2 linked regions of the Canis lupus familiaris genome follow. The protein of the gene in region 1 interacts with the protein of each later gene in a biochemical or structural test. Links are inferred from orthologs where the notes say so. Each region holds a gene or a part of one and is shown on either strand. Other genes may lie near its edges.

Evidence for each region.
Region 2: the proteins of PEX19 (region 1) and ABCD1 form a complex in vitro, tested with the Homo sapiens proteins (3 studies listed by BioGRID and IntAct, with this or other methods). The link is inferred for Canis lupus familiaris from reciprocal best matches to the Homo sapiens genes PEX19 and ABCD1.

Annotation. Positions count from the first base shown.
Region 1 is NC_049259.1:22,764,526-22,769,649, reverse strand, and holds the start of PEX19 (peroxisomal biogenesis factor 19), read right to left. Parts: upstream 3,327-5,124; 5' UTR 3,271-3,326; coding exon 3,201-3,270; intron 2,642-3,200; exon of another isoform or gene 2,386-2,641; coding exon of another isoform or gene 2,337-2,385; intron 1,917-2,336; coding exon 1,807-1,916; intron 1,382-1,806; coding exon 1,216-1,381; intron 545-1,215; coding exon 459-544; intron 1-458. UniProt on the Homo sapiens protein: Necessary for early peroxisomal biogenesis. Acts both as a cytosolic chaperone and as an import receptor for peroxisomal membrane proteins (PMPs).
Region 2 is NC_049260.1:122,743,403-122,747,809, reverse strand, and holds part of ABCD1 (ATP-binding cassette sub-family D member 1), read right to left. Parts: intron 3,950-4,407; coding exon 3,807-3,949; intron 3,720-3,806; coding exon 3,551-3,719; intron 2,964-3,550; coding exon 2,869-2,963; intron 278-2,868; coding exon 132-277; intron 1-131. UniProt on the Homo sapiens protein: ATP-dependent transporter of the ATP-binding cassette (ABC) family involved in the transport of very long chain fatty acid (VLCFA)-CoA from the cytosol to the peroxisome lumen.

The DNA of each region.
Region 1 (5,124 bases):
CAGCCATTCTATCTGCTTACAACCGTTCTGTTTTTCATATTCAGCACAGCATTCAATAAATTACATGAGATATTCAATACTTTATTAGAAAATAGGCTTTGTGGTGGATGATTCTGCCCAACTCTAGGCTTGTGTAAGTGTTCTGTAGTGTTTAAGGTAGACGAGGCTAAGCTGTCACGTTCAGTAGGGTAGGTGTATTAAATGCATTTTCAACTTATGTTATTTCCAGCCTATGATGGATTTATCAGGCTGTAGCCCCATTATAAGTTGAGGAAGATCTGTATATTGCCTTCTTGAGATGCTTACCACCCTTTCAGGTGGGAGAAAACGATTTACACTTGCAACAAAACAGTGTGGCAGGAACAGACTTTAGATGCTACCCAACAAAGTCTGTCTTTTGAGACTCTGCTGCTGATATGCCTGAGGGGTCCCTCGTGGACCCCACCCCTTTCCCTCACCTGAAGATCAGTAGCATTTTTGGCAAGTCCACTTAGTGTCTCCTTCAGGCAAGACGTAAATTCTTGTTGGGATGTCGCATCACTGCCTAAGAAAGATCAAGAAAGCCATATTAGGGGACACCTGGTGGCTCAGCGGTTGAGCATCTGCCTTTGGTTCAGGGCGTGACCCCGGGGTCCTGGGATCGAGTCCCACGTCGGGCTCTCTGCAGGGAGCCTGCTTCTCCCTCTGCCTGTGTCTCTGTCTCTCTCTCTCTCATGAATAAATAAATAATCTTAAAATAAAAAGCCATTTTAGATTTTAACTGTCTGCTTACCCAGACTGACTTGGTTATCAAGTAGATATAGATATATCTATAGATATATAGATATAGAAGATATAGAGATCTTCTATATAGTAGACATAGATATAGAACATTTACTAGTGGATCACTAGCACACCAATCTCTTGAATCCTCTGTGGTTCCTAGTCATTTTCATGAAGCTACATGAACTGCGCATGTCAGTTTATTCTCCACGATGACACCCACAACACTACGACCTTTAAAATGGTCAGTCTTCAGTCATCTTTTCAATGTCTTTTCAGCCTCCTCCCTTTCATCATACCATGTTCCCATCCCTCTTCCCACCTCCCGGCCCCTCCCCACAAGCAGTGATATGATGAGTGCTATCAGCTTTACTAAGAGACCTAGTGTTCTCAGGCAACACAGATGTCAGGACTTGGTTCACAGAGTTCCAGCCCTCTGGGCTGCCTTCTCACCCACTCTCCCTGCAGCCTCTGAGAGCTTCTGGAACTGCTCCACCAGGTGGGGCTCTTCCTCAGCCAACTCCTTCATTGCCTTCTCGAACTCTGCAGTGGCTTGGGAAGCCAGCTCGCTGTCGAACAGTTCCTGGAAAAACTTCTCTTGGGAGGCGAAGAGGGCATCCTGCAGGGAAGGGGTGGCCAAAATGCATCTCTTATTTGGCACCCCTCTGACACAAGCCACAGGCAGTGGCTCTGAGAAATGCAGTGCTTCCCTCCTGCCCGCCTCCACTGGACATTCTAACTACCTCTCTTAAGGAGAACAGTAAAAAAGGCATCTGGCCACTGAGGAAAGGGTATATATAGGATGGCATTCCCAAAACAATCATGTAAACCTACTCTTTTTTTTTTTCAAAGAACTGCCTTGAGAACCCACCTCTCCATCATGGAAAGTCCCTGTTTACCAGGACTAAGGCCTGCAAGAGCGCTCAGCACTCTAAGGCCGAGGCCTCCTCCCCCCATCCTCTCCAACCCACAGGGGCCTGCCCCACGTCTGCTCAGAGATGCACGCCCATCCCCTCCCATCCCTTAAAAGGGTGGAATTTATACTTTGGCAGTGTCTCCTGGCGATCTCTTCTGGGCCCCTGAAGCATCAGGGGCCGTGGTGGTAGGAGGGGGTGCTGGGGAGGGTTTGGCCTTATCGAAATCATCAAGAGCACCTTCAGAGACAAGAGACACAGTGTGTGTGTTGGGGGGTGGATGAGGATGCAAGGCTGCGGTGCGGGGGGGGGGGGGGGGGGCGCGTTCTGGGCAAAGCATTAGGAGAACAATCAATGTGCCAACCTTCCTAAAAAAAAAATTTTTTTTTTGAGTCTCCCTCTCCTGGCCCACCCTTCAATCAGCTTCCCCACCTCCCTCCTCATCTACCCACCCAATTTATGGTGATCAACGGTAAAAGGAATCCCTTAGGGTGGAAGAGGAGGCATCTCTCCCAGAGCCGGGAGGAGAGAATTAAGAGTTGTGCAAACGCATCTCCCACTACACAGAGGCCTCCTTGCCACACTGTAACGATTTCCCAGAAATCCCATATAAACGTCTAAGGGCAGAGAGCACACATGTCCCTCAACCCCTGGACTCACTCTGGAGACCTTCAGAGAATGATTTTTGGCAAGGAAGCGGCAGCCACATGATGTTCCACCCGGCGTCCCCTGGGTCCTGGTGTGGCACAGACTTGAGGGCTAGCACACCGGACTCCCCGGAGGGCACTGAGGTCTCTCCTCTTACCCTCCGACTCAGCCCTGCCTCAGCCCTGCCGGGGAGGGGGGCGGAGCTCCCGGAGTTCCCCGCAGCCGGCTCGCCCCTGCAGAGAATGTGCCAATGCACAGGGCCACCTGGCGCTCCTCACCGTGTCTGACCGTCCTTCTGTCTGCCCACGTCTCTGTGACTGGGCAGGAGACAGAACGTGTTCACCTCTGCCCTGAACACCTGAGTCCTCACCGCCATCCCGCCTGCCAGGCTGGGGGAGGAGGGGAGGAGGAGGGGTGGCGGGCACGACACGGGCCCTTGTGGGCAAGCAACCACCCGAGGACGGGAGGGCCGGGGCGGGCAGGAAAGAACATGCGGCCTGAGTGGGGGCGCGGGGGCGGCTCTGACGTGGCGAAGGGCAGGTGAGCGGCGGCCGCCGACCCCAGGCGCCGAAAGCCGCTGCCGGCGGGAAGTTCGGTCCCGGCACCTGCGCGGCGAGGCCAAGGCGGGCTGGGGTCGGGCCGTCCCGCGCGCTGCCGCTCCCCCTGCGGCCCGGGCACCGCCGGTCTGACCCGCCGCCGAGGACGGAGACCGCGGCCCGCGCGGCCCAGGGGCTCGCTCCGGGGTCGCAAGGAGACCCGCCGCCCCCGCCAACCCTGCGGGAGCCTCCCCCGCCCCCAGGACCTCGGGGCTCGCTTTGCCCCGGAGCGAGCCCTCACGACCGCCCGCGTCGGGCCTCTCGTCCCACGAGCTCTTACTTTCCAGGAGCTCTTCCAGTTCCCGGTCCGCGTCGGCACCGGCAGCACAGCCCTCCTCGGCGGCGGCCATCTTGCTCTGTCCGGCTTGCCGTAGGGGGCGGGGCTCCGCGGCGCTCGGCCCGCCCCTCGCCCCGCCCCTCGCCCCGCCCCGCCCCCTCGGGCAGCCAATAGCAGAGCGGGCCGGTGCGGAGCCGCCATCTTTAAAGGGACAGGAAGCTTCGTGGGCTTGTGTTTTTGTTTTCGGTGTGGGTTTTTTTTTTTTTTTTTTTTTTTTCTCCCCCTTCTCCTCCTTTCTGGCCGGGAACCGTTGAACTAACGGCATGGGTCACTTAGCAGCCCGGCTCCCTTTACCGCCGCCTCTGGCACTCTCCGGGAAGCAGCCGTTTCCTCGTCTCGCCCAGGGCACCCGGCGTTCGGGCCGCTTTCCCCCGCGGCCTGCCCGGCTCCCCGCCGCCGCCCCGCCCCGCCCCGAATTCAACCACCACGCGGGCCGGGACTCGCTCACTGCGGGGCCCTGGCGCCCTGCACCCCGCCCTGCACCTGCCCGGACCCCGGCGGGGCGCCCCCTCCCCCCCCCCCGTTCCCCAGCGGCGGGGCGGGGCGGGACCGGACGATCCAGGCCCGGCAACTGGGAAGCCGGCGCCGGCGGAGGCAGCCCCGGCAGGAAAAGCCAGTGTGCGCGCCTGGACCGAGCCGGGGACCCCGCAGACCCCGCAGCGGCGCCCCGGCCTCCCCCGAACCATCTCCTTTGCTCAGAACCCAGCGCCCAACCCAGGGATGCTGGGGCGCTCGCGTGGACGCAGGCGGACACCTGCCTTCCCTGCCGACACAGGGCGCCCCTGCCTCAGACGGAGGCCTGCGTTAGCACTTTGGGGGCATCCATTGCCTTTGGGACCCCGTGCTGGGCTCCGCGGACGTAGGGGGGTGGGGACCGCTGCTCGGGGATGAGGCTGGAGGCGGCCCGGACCGGCACACGGAGGTGTGGTGCCAGGTCCACGGCTTCGGAGAACCGTCGAGTGCTGCGGGGCGTAAAATGGGGAAATCACATCTAAATGAAGTCCCTTGGCGGCTTTCGTCCTTGGCTTCCCGAGAACACGCTGGAATGTGTGTCGAGCACCAGCTTAGGTACTCTCTGCTTCCCAGACAGGGCGCAGACTTTTTTTTTTTTTAATTATTTCATGAGAGAGAGAGGCAGGCTCCCTGCAGGGAGCCTGACGTGAGATCTGGGACTCGTTCTGGGTCTCCAGGATCAGGCCCTGGGCCTAAGGCGGTGCTGAACCGCTGAGCCCCCCAGGGATCCCCCAGACTCCTAAATCACACCTGTGCAACACGCGCTGTATTGTTCCGCCCCAAGGGCTGTGACTGAGGACAAAACATCCTGAACCCAAAGTCAGCTGAGCTAAGTCCCAGTCCCAATTCTGTAACCAACTGCTTTTGTTCAAAACCCTTCACCACTCAAGACCTCAGATGGCAACTACATAACGTTAAAGTTCTTTTCAATTCTAAATTTCCATAAGGGATCCCTCTGATTAACCCCTTTCTCCCCAACACCTGCAGAATCTATCCCAGGCTTCCTTCCTTCAACTCCAAACCACTTACATGTGTCTTTCGAATGTGACTATAGTTACATCAATCATGTTACAGGTATTTCTATTGGTTTCACATTAATGTGGTAACATTAGCATGTTAATAAGCAAAATACCAGAAATAAATGAGAACATGAAGTTGAAAACAAGCACGATTCTTCCTTTGCCTCATTTCTTAAACTTGCTCTGCTTTTCTCTCACTAGGGATACTCCTAAAACCTCATCTCCACATTTATTCATCACCTGCCTTTCTAATGTATACTGAATACTGTTGCAAAATAGTATTTTACAGCATTTTTTTTTAAAAGTAAGACTCCATGCCCAGCATGCAGCCCAAC
Region 2 (4,407 bases), on another chromosome or scaffold:
GGCACCATGGCCCCTCCGACTCCGGGGCCACGACCTCGCTGAGCTCTCCCGATGCCCCCCGCTCTGCTGCTCCTGGGTGGCAGGTCCCACGGGTGAAGGGGTAGGGGCGGAGCGGCGGGACCTCCCCTCACCTCTGAGGGATGTAGAACATGCGCTGGGGCGGGGGCTTGTACAGCACGCCGCCGTAAGTGGGCCAGAGACCGCCGAGGATCCGGAACAGAGAACTCTTGCCGCAGCCGTTGGGGCCGGTGATGAGCAGGTGCATGCCTTCTTCCACCTGCGGAGGCAGCGGTGCTGGTACCTGGCGGGGGGGGAGGGGGCTGCACGGGCCTCCGTCCCCTCCCCCGGGGCCCCCATCCGGGGCCGTGCCCAGGCTGGTAGGCAGGCCATTCTCGGGGTCTTGGTGTCGGACAGCAGGGCATGAAGGATGAGGTGTGGCAGCCAGAGCCCTAGCCAGACGCCTGTTTGGGGTCCGGGCCTGATCCCTAAGCCCCTGCCATGCACCAGAGAGCAGGGGGCCAGCGTGAGGAAGGCCCCAGGAGGTCAGCGGCACCCTCTTGCCCGCCGTCCCAGCTCACCAGGACTCCCAGTGTCTTGGCTTCCCAGGCAGACTTGCTCTCCCGGGAGGCCCGGGCCCGGGCCAGGGGCTTTCTTTCGAGTTCTGGGTGGACAGTGATAACCCCCCACTCTGTTCCTAATGCCTGGCTAGTCCCCCTTCCCCCTGGGCCTCTCACTGCCCCCGCGGGTGCTAGGGCGCTGGCCGGAGGCCGCTGTGACCCCTGCGCTCAGCGTGAAGGGCCTCGGGCTCTCCAGTTAGCCCACTACACGGTGCCCACTGGCCTTAGGGAGATGCCTCCCGTAGGAGAAAGGCCAGCCGAGCTTGGGCGGAGTGTGCAGGAAGGAAGGGGTCAGGCGGCAGGGCACTGAGGCCACAGCTCCCCCCCTCGCCAGGTCCGAGTGGCAGTGTTGTGGATTGAGCGGGATCGCCCCCAGACGCGTGTGTTATGGTCCTAACCCCCGAGACCTCAGAACGTGACCTTATTCGGAAAAAGAGTCCTTGCAAATGCAGTCAGTTAAATTTAGATGAGCTCATCCTGGAGTGGGGTGGGCCCCTCATCCGCTGTCACCGGTGTCCTTAGCAAAAGGGGACTTTTGGACACGGAGACGTGCACACGGGGAGCAGGCCACGTGACGAGGAGGCCGAGACCAAGGTGAGGCTTCTGGGAACACCACTGATGGCCAGTATGGCACCCGGACTGGGAGCGGCCGGGAGCAGACTGGGAGCGAAGCGCTTCTGCTGTCCGAGCCCATCACTTTGTGATCCTTTGTCAAATTATAAATGCCCTGGGGCGGGGGGGGGTGCTGGGCCCCCCTCCTCCATGGTGGATGCGCAAGGGCCAGTGCCTCAGGCCTGGCTCCCCCCCCACCGTGGCGCCCCGGCGGCCTCCCTGGTCCTCTTCCCCGGGCCTCTCCCTCCTCCGCCGACCTGCCCCACGGCCTGGCCCATCATGACCGGGAACTGCTCCCGTCTGTTCCCGGCATCTCCCAGCCCCCGAGCCCAGCTTCCGCCTCGCCCCGCACCCCGGCTCCTCCGTCCAGACACCCCTCCTCACCTGGCCTTGCTCCCTAACCAGCTGCACCCTGGAGAGCCAGGGCCCCTGGTCTTTGCCTACTTGGCTGCCGCTGGGCCTGCAGGGAAATCGTTTGCCTTGGATAAACCAGCCATTGGTGGCTCCCTGTCACACCCCAAGAGTGAGCACGGCCAGGGGCGACGGGGATCACGCCACCGTCCTGTGCCGCTCAGGGTAACGGAACGTGCCCAGCCTCCAAGCGGCTCTCGGGGCCCCTCTCGGCAGACCAGGGCAAGGAGCCCCCACTGGCCCCAGCAGCCGCTGACCCTCCACTCGCCTCTCCCCAGGTCCTCCCCGCCGGGCCCCGGCTCCAGGCCACCCAGCTGCGGCCCCTCGGCTCCCCGCTCCTGCCACCACTGCCTGCCTCTGGGGGAGGCCTTCTTCCTCATGCTGCCCACCTCCCCGAGCCCCCGTGCAGCTTCCTGTGACCTCTGCTCACCTCGGGGATAGGACCATCCTTCCCGCGGCCCCCACGGGATCCCGCGCAGCTCACTGGGACCTTGGCACTACTTTAGGGGACCCGGCGTGGGGCCTCCCTGAAGGCAGTGCCCGTCCAACTTACGTCTGCTTCCCAGTGCCCAGCCCAGGAAGGAAGGAACGATTCCCTCTCACTGCTTACACGGACCGCCCCAACCCCAGGCCTCTCCTTCTATCAGGCCCCGACCGTGTCGGAAGCTTCAACTAGGGACGCCGGAGACTGGTGGGTGTTGGCCTCCGGGGCTTCCTTTCTGCAGACAGCCTCTGCAGTGGCTGGGAGCCCTCCCGCCGGGCCAGGCTGTACCCAGCACACACCCACGCTGGAGGCTCCTTAAAGCAGACGGAGGGGACCCTAAGCCCAGGTCACTGGAGGAATCTATTTCACCATAGTTACAGTTGAAGCAGAGCGCCCAAGTCCTGGGCTTCTCGGGGATGGGGGCGGGGGGGGGGGGATGGCAACATAGGGCCAGGGCCAGGAGCCCCTGGGTGCCCCTTGGCTCCTCCTAGTAGTCGCTAGTCACTTTTATGACTCTGCTGCGATAGAATCAACAGTCAGAGACACGTTGGCATCTCACCTTGACCTTAGCCCACTAGCCAAGTAGATCTGGGTAATGACAACACATCCAGGCCCAATAAGCCAGACACCGAGGGTTGGGGCTTGCAGCTACAGAAGGTTAGGCCCAGGGCCCCATAGCTGAGCCCAGCCAGGCCAGCACTCCTGGGTCAGGCGACCCCCCACCCCGTCCCCCACTTGACCTACCCTGATATTGAGGCTGGCCACCACCACCTCTCCCGTGGGCGTGATGATGGGGATGTTCTCACAGATAATTCCCTGTTCCACATCTACCACTTGGCCTGGAGAGAGAACGCAATGAAGGAATAGAGGGAGCAGCAGCACTCCCTCTGCCTTCTGGTGGGTTCCACGTGCCACTCCACCGCTAACGGCATGCCAGTGTGTGGTCCGGGGACCCTTGGGAATATGGGTCTTCCGGAAGCCTGCCCCCAACCAGCATGTGGTGCTCTCCTCTGGACAGGGGAGGGGCAATGTCACTTCTCTGGCTTCTGGAACCTGAGGCACGGAGTCCACCTTTGCTCTGTAAAACCCTCTGCTCCTGGCACTATTTTAATGGCAGCTTTGACGTTTGGGCCCCTCTTCCACAGTACCCGGCCCCTGCTGTAGTCTCGAACTTTCGCTTGCTGCCCACATGGGAGAGTGATCCCTTCTACTCAGGGACTGCATCTCCCTCTTTTGCGAAGAGAAACAAGAGAAATCTCTGGCCAGAGCACCGGGAAGGAGCTGGCAAGTGAGAGGGATGACTAGCAGCTACCACTCGGGGAAAGAAGGTGACGGGGGTCACGGCAGGCCCCGGAAGCCCTCCCTGGGACACAGCTCAAAGATCCTGCCCTCCGGGTGGGGGTGTCCGTGGGGAGCGCGCCCTTACCTCGGATCTGCAGGGGCCCCTCTACGTGGACACCAGACCTCGCCACAGCCCCGGGCCCTGCCTGAGTGTCCTCCAGCTCCCCGGGCCTCTTGAAACGGCAGTGCTGGACATCTTCAAATACCTGGAACATCTCGTGTACTCGGGCTGTGTAGCCGGCCAGCTCTGTCACCTGCGGGGATGGTGACCTGGCTCAGACACTGCCAGCTGGGGGAGCGGTGGGAGGCATGGCAGGGGGCGGTGCTGGGCTGGGGGGTACCTCCTTGTAGGATGACATGATCCGCTCGATGGCATCCGCAGCAGCTGTGAGGAGGTTGCGGGCAATGGTGAAGGCCTCCGTGCGCTCGCTCACGAGCTCCTCCTCCCTCATCTCCAAGGCTGCCTTCTTCACTGCCTCTGAGTCTATGGGGCACAGGGGAAAGGAGGGGACTGTGGGAAAGCAAAACTGACCCCCTGGGGAAAAGAAAAGTCTCTCCAGCAGATGGTGCTGGGACAACCGGGTATCCACTTGCAAAAGGATGACCCCTGCTTCACACACCCCCAAAACTAACATATGGCTCCTTAAACATGATGCCAAAAGCACAGGCAACAAAAGAAAAACAGATCAATGAGCTTCATCAAAATTAAAACTTTTGGGGTTGGGACGCCTGGGTGTCTCTGGTTGAGCACCTGCCTTTGGCTCAGGGCGTGACCCTGGGGTCCCGGGATCGAGTCCCACATCGGGCTCCCCAAAGGGAGCCTGCTTCTCCCTCTGCCTGTGTCTCTGCCTCTCTCTGTCTCTCTCTGTGTCTCTCATGAATATATAAATAAAATCTTTAAAAAAATTAATAAAAAATAAAACTTTGGGCAGCCCCGGTGGC